Cricetulus griseus: one gene and its partner. The protein of the gene in region 1 interacts with the protein of each later gene in a biochemical or structural test. Links are inferred from orthologs where the notes say so. Each region holds a gene or a part of one and is shown on either strand. Other genes may lie near its edges.

Region 1 (3,643 bases):
GCCTCAACACATGCTAGTTTTCTCTTTACTCTGTACTGTAGACCAGTTCATCATTTCGTGAACTGTGGTCAGCATGATGACAGCTACATTTTTTCCTTCAGGAATAATGATTGTACTCACTAATTCAGTCTCTCCATTGCCATGATCATTCTCAACTGCCCACATACAAATCAGACCAGGTTTTTCTCTTCAGGCATTGCCAACTGTGAAACTGTCTAGGTTAAAGAAGGGGGAATCCACGTGACACTGGATGCAGATGTTAAAGATACACAGCTTTCTCCCATTCTCCTGATTTACTGCATTGGAGAACTTTTATACCATGCTGTCATGGTATGAAGAAGAGGGTGAAGCTCTGTCCACAGCTCAGACTGCCCAGTGTTACTCAGTGTGGGGCCCAGACAGCAGTGACCCTAAAGTTCATCGAGTTAATTATCTATGACTGCACTTCTCCTTGCCCAGAAAAAGACATACATTTAATTTTCTCTAAGTAAAAAAATATATTGTTTCCTTATTAGGACATCTAGCTAGTGTGGGGCCCATAATCACTTTTGTATTTGTATTTATGCATATGCTGTATTAATATGTTTACTCATTTAAAAGAGATCCCTTTTATGATACAGTCCATTTTTATTAATTTATGCAATATGCACTACATTATTATTGTAGGCTGTGTTTTTTTACCCAGTACTCACATGTGTATGTTACATACCAGTTTACTGAATAGAGACTGTGAATTTTAAAATGTTTGTCATTTGATGACACAATAATTTAAAGCAAATTCTGTTAACTTTAATTTTGGATGAAGAAGCAAACAGAATGTTTGAGCCAGGTCACATGGAGAAAAACCCTGGGCCTAGTGCTTTATGTGGCTACAGCAGTTCTCAAGGCTCTGCAGTTGTTAAAGAGTGAGAACTGACCTATGATTTTGAGGTTTTAGAATGTTGTCTGTGTAACTAATTAGACTATTTTAAAAGTATTAAGATGCATGGATTTGGCCATGCCTGTAATTAACCTTAATTTAATTATTAACTCCAAAGCCATTGCTTTCCCACCTCTCAGCATTGTCAGGAAGATAAACCTAATGAACTCTGTTATACTTACCACACACAAAAAAACAAGTAACCATTTTTCATTCTGGACATGTCAACCGAGAATGTTCACCAACACTTAAAGCTCTAATGGAACATAGGGAAGCTGGTAGAGACAAAGATGCTTTGTAGTGGGTGCTGGAGGAAGATGAAGATCAGAAGGGAGTTGAGTGACTGGGAATGGGGAACCAAGCTGGTGGGTGGGGCAGGCAGTAAGTGCTGCTGGTTAAATACCCTGTGATTTTTTTGTGTTCTCTCTGCCTCTGATTCTCAGGTGCCCAAATGGACCAGCCCTGCTGCCGTGCCCTGTATGACTTTGAACCTGAAAATGAAGGGGAACTGGGTTTTAAAGAGGGTGATATCATCACACTCACTAATCAAATTGATGAGAACTGGTATGAGGGGATGCTTCATGGCCAGTCTGGCTTTTTCCCCATCAACTATGTAGAAATTCTGGTTGCTCTGCCCCATTAGGATCTTATGCTGGCTGGCTCACCTCCTTCTGACCCAGATAGTTAAGTTTAACCACTGCTTTGGTAATGCTGCTTCCAACACATCATGAATGCAGGCCGCAGTGGATGAGTCATCAAGCCCACACATGTCCTGGGTTGACCTGTGTGCTCCTACAGTTGACCTGGTGATAGACGGTATCTTCCAAGGCCAGTGGGTCTGGCACATGCTTTAAAACTCCATCTGAGACTAGCCAGTGGTTACAGAACTGCTCTTCACACAGTTCTCAGGAGGGTGCGGTTTTTGATAATAAATCTGTGAGCCACCTCACAGAAAAACTCTCCTCACTGAAGATATTGTCTCTCACCCAGGGGCCATTTCAAGGTCTGGAGTTCCCCATGTACAGAGGAGAAAGTCCTTTCTGTTGCACTTTCCCTTCCTAAATGTGTGAGTCACAGAATTGTTGGTGAAGCATCCCCCACCAGCAAATTGTCTGCTGGCCTAAACAACTTGGACTTTTGATGCCATCAGCAGAAGTATTAATTGTCCAAAGCACTTTTGTTCTCATCCATCTATCTTTCTATCTATCTATCTATCTATCTATCTATCTATCTATCTATCTATCCATCTAGCTATCTATCCATCCATCTTCTATCATCTATCTATCTATCTATCTATCTATCTATCTATCTATCATCTATCTCCTACTTCTGAGACATACCAGTTTTCTTCCCTCCCTTCTGTTAAAGCACTAGAGAGGTGGCGTTCCCACTTATTTCTGAGTGAGTTGGTGAGCATTGTGTATATTGTCTGAAAAGAGAAAATTCTCCAGGATGAATTGGGAAGAATCTGATCTCCAAGCTCAGATTCCTTGCTGTATAGAAGCTGTATATATACGTAGCCCATTTCTGAAGGATACAGGAAGGGGGAACAGCTGTCTTCCCTTCTCTGTTTATTTACCCAGGAATCAGTCCATTTCCTGAGTCCCTCTGCCACAAAAACATAGGAGAGAAACACTAGTAAGCATTTCCCACATCTTCATAGAACAAGACATAGTGACCGTTGCTCCTTCCCACTTTTATCTTGTTTGTGTTCCTTGAACATCATTTGTGTATATTCTGCCCTCAATGAGGACCAAATAAAGATGATTTTTGTGCTTAGCAGTTTAAGTATGTGGCTGCATATAAAACCCTTTCACACTTTAGTCATTACTTTAACCCTTCTATCGCATCTTCATTTTGTGTGTACAGTGCTGTGCAAGCTGATCAGTGTTGTTTTTATTTTGTGTTTTCTCTGGTTCTTTTCCCCTTCAGTCATGGAAGTCCTGTTAGGCACCCAGAGTTCTATTTATCTAGCTGTACAGGCTATTTCAGAGGTTTAATGTGCTGCTTCCGATATGCCACTTGCAGTAGTGGTTCATGTGGAGTGAAAGGTAAATCTTCCTGCTTAATGTATAAACTCACCATGGGAAGCGTTGCTGTTTCCAATAAATATTGCTGAAGATGAAACAGAGGGTTCTGCCTCTTCCTTATTTATCAGTTCCTTGGTCTGACAGTGGGTGGACTAAGACTCCTTTGATCTCCATTGCCATTGAATGCAGCCAATCCAGACCTGGTCCCAACCTCATCTCCAGCTTGTTGCATACAGGAGAGAGAGGTTCAAGAAACAAAAGGTGAGCTAGAGTAGGCACTGGCAGCAGTAATGCCAGGAAGGAGAAAAACTTGGCGGAGAGGGTAAGTAAGAGAAGAAAGTTATGTGATTTAACAAACAGTGATGTCAGCAGGAGAACACAGTGTTAAAAAGAGGAAAATAAAGTATCTTGGCCAGACTTTTGGCTTTGTTTTGAATACTCCTTTATTTTAATTTCATATATGTATGTAGAAAAAATATCATTTCTCCCTCTTATTTCCTCCTTCAACTTCTCAAGTGTCCCCCAATACACCTTTCAACCAACTTGGAGTCTTTAAATCCAGTTAGTGTTGATCATGTGTGTAAGTATGGGGCTATGCATGAAGCATGGAAAACCTACCAGTGGCCAAAACTTCAAAAAAGGAGGATTCTTCCTTTCCCAGCAATATCTACTACTATCTATATGCTACAGTAAT
Region 2 (4,599 bases), on another chromosome or scaffold:
TTGTTGGAGCATGTTTACAGGCATCACATTGTGTTTTCCTTCAAGGATTGTCCCCCAACTGAAATGGACTCTTCTTGGAAGGAAAATGACCTAAGCATTTTAATTATCAGTGTAAGCTTCTGGTTACTGTAACCACAGCAAAAAGCGAAAGTTTTTCTAAGGAGACTACTAAGTGAAAGATTCTCAGAACTAAATCCAAGTGTGTCTCCTGTACTAGAGGTGGCTTGTGTTTGGTTTGCTTATTAGTAGTCTGAAACCAGGGTGGATCTGTCTTGGATAAAATGGAGAAATGTTGAGTCACATGATAGAGCCTGTTAGAGGAAACGATTTTGTGCAACGCATCGTAAATGTGCTTTCGGGTGGGGGATGCAAAAAGGGGAAGAGGCTAGGGAGAAAAAGCAAGTGGAAATATGACTTGTGGGTTCCTCGGGTTTTCAGTTCCTTTGAAAAGCCCTATTAACTACATCATTCTACCATTTTGGTTTCTTGAATAGATGCAGAGTAATTCTGCCGGACACAAATCAGAGGCGTGTTGCGTTGAGGGGAAAAACGGTATCAAACAGTGTGATGCCCTATTTATAAGAGCCCACGGCCGGCAAATCGGCACGTCACCGAGAGAGTGACTGCCGTGTTTTGTTGATGTGGCTGGCGCCCGGGCTGCGGATCGCTCCCTCCCTCCCTCCCTCCCTCCTTCCCTCTCTCAGAGGCCTTCAGCGGAGCCCTGGAGCGCCAAGGACGCCTCCCGACGCCAGACACCATGGACAGCTCTCCGGCACCGCCCGCCGCCCGCCCGCCGGGGCCGCGGAGGCGGCAGGGGGTGGTCCCGGGGGGCTCGGCTCGGCTCACCTCGGGCTCCCCCGGCCCGGCCCGCAGCTCTAACCGCAGTCCCCCTGGCGGCCGCGGCCGGGCCGGGGCTCAGGGGCCTCCACGCGAGGACACCGCCCGTCCCGCCCCTCCCGTGCCGGCTTCCCCGGCCGCGCGGGTGGCCCCCCGCTCCCGCGCTGACGACGGCGGGAGGGACGCAGGACCCGGGTGGCTCACGGGCGCCCGGCCGAGCCCAACGGCCCCGCGTGGGCGGCAGTAGCTCCGCCCCTCCACCCAAGGGGCGGGCCTTCCCCCCCCCCCCCCCCGGCAGCGGCGCAATGCGGAAGAGCTGGGCCTGCTGAGGCGGAAGTGACGCCTCGGGCGGCTGTAGCGGCGGCGGCGGCGGCTGCGGGAGGAGGAGGAGGAGCCGGAGGAATAGGTGGGCGGCCGGGCGGGCGGTCGGGGGGACGGGGGAACGGGGGACGGGGACGCTCCGTGACGGGCGCGGCGGCGCGGTGGCGGCGGTGGCAGCCGGGACGCGAGCGGTGAGCGGCGGCTGCGGGCGGCCGGGCGGGCGGCGTGAGGAGAGCGCGGGCGGCGGCGGGGCGGCGGCGGGCGGCTGCGGTGACGGCGGCTGTCACCCCGCGGGCCGGAAGGCTTCCGCTCCGCTCAGGCTCCCGGGCATCTCCCGAGGCGCACAATGGAGGCTCCGGGCTGCCCGCTGCCTCGGTTTCCCCGGCTACCCCGGAACCCCCGCGCCGCGCGCGGGGCGAGCCTGTCGTCACCGTGACCTGCGCGCCGGGCGAGCGGGTGGGCGGGCGAGCGGGCGGGCGGAGGCGGCGGCGGTCACCTGTGTGGCGGCGTCCCTGCCCTTCGCCGCCGCCCTGCGGAGCCCGCGCGCTGACGAGCCCTACCCTCCCGCTGAGGTAGACGCACGAGCCTCAAGTTGCCGTCAGGTCCCCTCAGGAGAGGCGGCCCGCGAGGCAGGCCCGTGAACAACCCCCGCCGAAAACGCACGCACGGTTTTCCTGTGGGTAAACACAGACCCTGCCTCCCCTGGCCGCATCTTGACAACTGGAAGCCGGTTTCCCTTTGCCTTTTGGTAAAAATTTGGTGACGCCTTATCTTTTGGAATAAATGGCTCACCCCTGATTTCTCCTCTCTTCCTGCACCCCTACCCCCCTCACACTTGGCAGGGAGGGACCCCTGGGTGCCCAGCCGACCATTGGCTTGACTTGGCTTGGCTTTCACAGGGCTGCCTCTGAGGAAAGGAGGATGGCGTTCAGCAAAGGCTTCCGAGTCTACCACAAGCTGGACCCCCCACCCTTCAGCCTCATAGTGGAAACGCGGCATAAGGAAGAATGTCTCATGTTCGAGTCTGGGGCTGTGGCCGTGCTCTGTAAGTCACGTGTTTTAACCTCACCGATTATGATCTCTGTTTTGGTTCGTAACAGTTTATAAAAAAGAAAGAAAATCCTTGGAAGCCTTCAGACCGAATTTTATCTGATGGATTTATTCTTTGCTTTAATTGGAAAGAACCCTTATTTCCTGTAAACTCAGACTTAGGTTTTTGTTTGGGGAGGTGCAGATTTTGCGGATAGGATTTTGCTTTCTCTGTGTTCTGCTTCTAGAATTGTATCTTTTTGTAGAATATTGTTGCAGTTACGTCTTACCGCATTAACCCAATAGGACAGCTTGCTTGATAGCTGTAATGCATAGAATTTTGCAGGTCAGTTTTAGTAGTAATGATATTATGTTACAGATTTTTGTGTATCTTATGTCAAACCCTTACTTATTTTTGTATGTATGTATGTATGTATGTATGTATGTATATTGGTGTGCCTCGTGAGCATGTGTGAGATTCAGATCAGGCCCAGGCTGCTACTGAAGGACTTGCGTGTGCATGAGTGATGTTGGTGCTCTACTACTGATCACTTCTACAGCCTACGAGTTTATATTTTTCAGTAAAAATTGCAGTTTGTAAAAATTGCATATGAGATGAGTGATTGGTTTCATTTTGTTTAAAAATGACTGATTTTTAAAGAAAAGTTCTATTTACTGTACCTCTTATTGTACACACACATACACACACACACACACACACACACACACACACGCACGCACGCACGCACGCACGCACGCACGAGCAAAGGCAAAAAATGTTTGGGTTAATTTGTGGCAGATGGATGAAAATGAAAACTACTAATTAACATGCTTTTATGCTATAATTTTTTACATTTATTTATTTGTGTGTGAGTGGGGTACGTGTGGAAGTCAGAGGTAGCTTGTGGGAGTAGGTTCTCTCCTCCTTCTATATATGTTCCAGGGACAGAACTCAGGTCTTTAGGCTTGGTGGTAAATGCTTTTTACCTGCAGAGACATCTCAGTGTACCCCATGCTTCAGTCATTCAGTGGGGCAGATAACCCCAGTTTGGGGTTGTCCCAGGTATGGTGTTTTTAAAACAGATTTTCTAATGAGAACTATTTGTTCTTGAGTTTTTTAAAGCAGTGTTATAACCTGACCTGCCCCCCTCCCCCCTATGATACAGCCAAAGCCATTGAATTCCAAATCCCCCTACCTTCATATTCAGAGTGCGGGCAGTACAGGCATGCTCCCGTGCTAGGTTCATTCGGTGCAGGGTTGGAACGCAGGGCTTCATGCATCTTAGGCAAGCACTCTGCTAACGGAGCTGCATCCCTAGCCTTCTTGGCTCCATTTTCTCAGATTGTGTATTGATCATACTTTTATAAGTTAAAACTGTTGTTTAGGCTGGAGATGCTCAGTTGACAAATGCCTGCCATGTAAGCTGGGGATCCCCAGAACCCTCACGGAAGACAGCCTGGCATGCTCTGCATGAGCTGGAACGTGAACATTGCTAGAACTGGATGTCAACCTCTGGCCTACATGCATACGCTGTGTGTGAATATTTAATAAATATATAATATATAATAAAGGAAGACACCTGATGTCAACCTCTGGCCTACATGCATACTCACACACATATATATATATGCGTGTGTGTGCATTATATAATGTATATTATATATTACTGTGTATATATATAAACGCACATGTATACACACAATAATGTTTGAAAAACAATATAAGCCATAAATATTTTAATTATTACTCTTTCTTTAGACTCAGTAGGTAAAGAGCATAATGTCCTACCCTATGTATAAAAGATTTTCATATTGGCTCAGGTGTAACCTGACTAAAATAGTAAAATTTTATCCTGGTAGGAAAAATAATAGTGACATAATGAACAACTCCTAAGCAAAGGTCAGTATAACACACGAGCACGCCGCGCGCGCACACACACACACACACACACACACACACACACACACACACACGCGCGCGCGCGCGCGCGCGCGCACACGTATTTCTGTTGCATACAGTACCATGGTTTGAAGGGAGAAGCAAGGAGTGAGATACATCCCGAGAAAAAGGTTAAGTAATATTCAATATGAACGTCACTGCTCAAAATTGTTCCTTATGGTTTGTTTGTGTAATAGCCCTAGCTGTCCTGGAACTAGTTCTGTAGACCAGGCTGGCATTGAACTCACAAAGATCCGCCTGCCTCAGCCTCCCAAGTGCTGGGATTAAAGGCATGTGCCACTACTACCTGGTGGTTTTTATGATTTAATAAAATGAAAATGCCATGCTCCAGCATCATGCTCCAGTGTTAATCCACACAGAATACATTTTCATACTATAGATGTACTTACACTAATGAAAGCTGAAATAAAAAGATGAGAATGAAGGGCTTTGGTTAGTCTAGTATGAATAAT

The links.
Region 2: the proteins of Sh3gl2 (region 1) and Synj1 form a complex in vitro, tested with the Homo sapiens proteins (2 studies listed by BioGRID and IntAct, with this or other methods). The link is inferred for Cricetulus griseus from reciprocal best matches to the Homo sapiens genes SH3GL2 and SYNJ1.

The regions. Positions count from the first base shown.
Region 1 is NC_048595.1:62,445,565-62,449,207, reverse strand, and holds the end of Sh3gl2 (endophilin-A1), read left to right. Parts: intron 1-1,362; coding exon 1,363-1,562; 3' UTR 1,563-3,046; downstream 3,047-3,643. UniProt on the Homo sapiens protein: Implicated in synaptic vesicle endocytosis. May recruit other proteins to membranes with high curvature. Required for BDNF-dependent dendrite outgrowth.
Region 2 is NC_048597.1:6,747,939-6,752,537, forward strand, and holds the start of Synj1 (synaptojanin-1), read left to right. Parts: upstream 1-1,733; 5' UTR 1,734-1,906; intron 1,907-2,057; 5' UTR 2,058-2,079; coding exon 2,080-2,203; intron 2,204-4,599. UniProt on the Homo sapiens protein: Phosphatase that acts on various phosphoinositides, including phosphatidylinositol 4-phosphate, phosphatidylinositol (4,5)-bisphosphate and phosphatidylinositol (3,4,5)-trisphosphate. Has a role in clathrin-mediated endocytosis.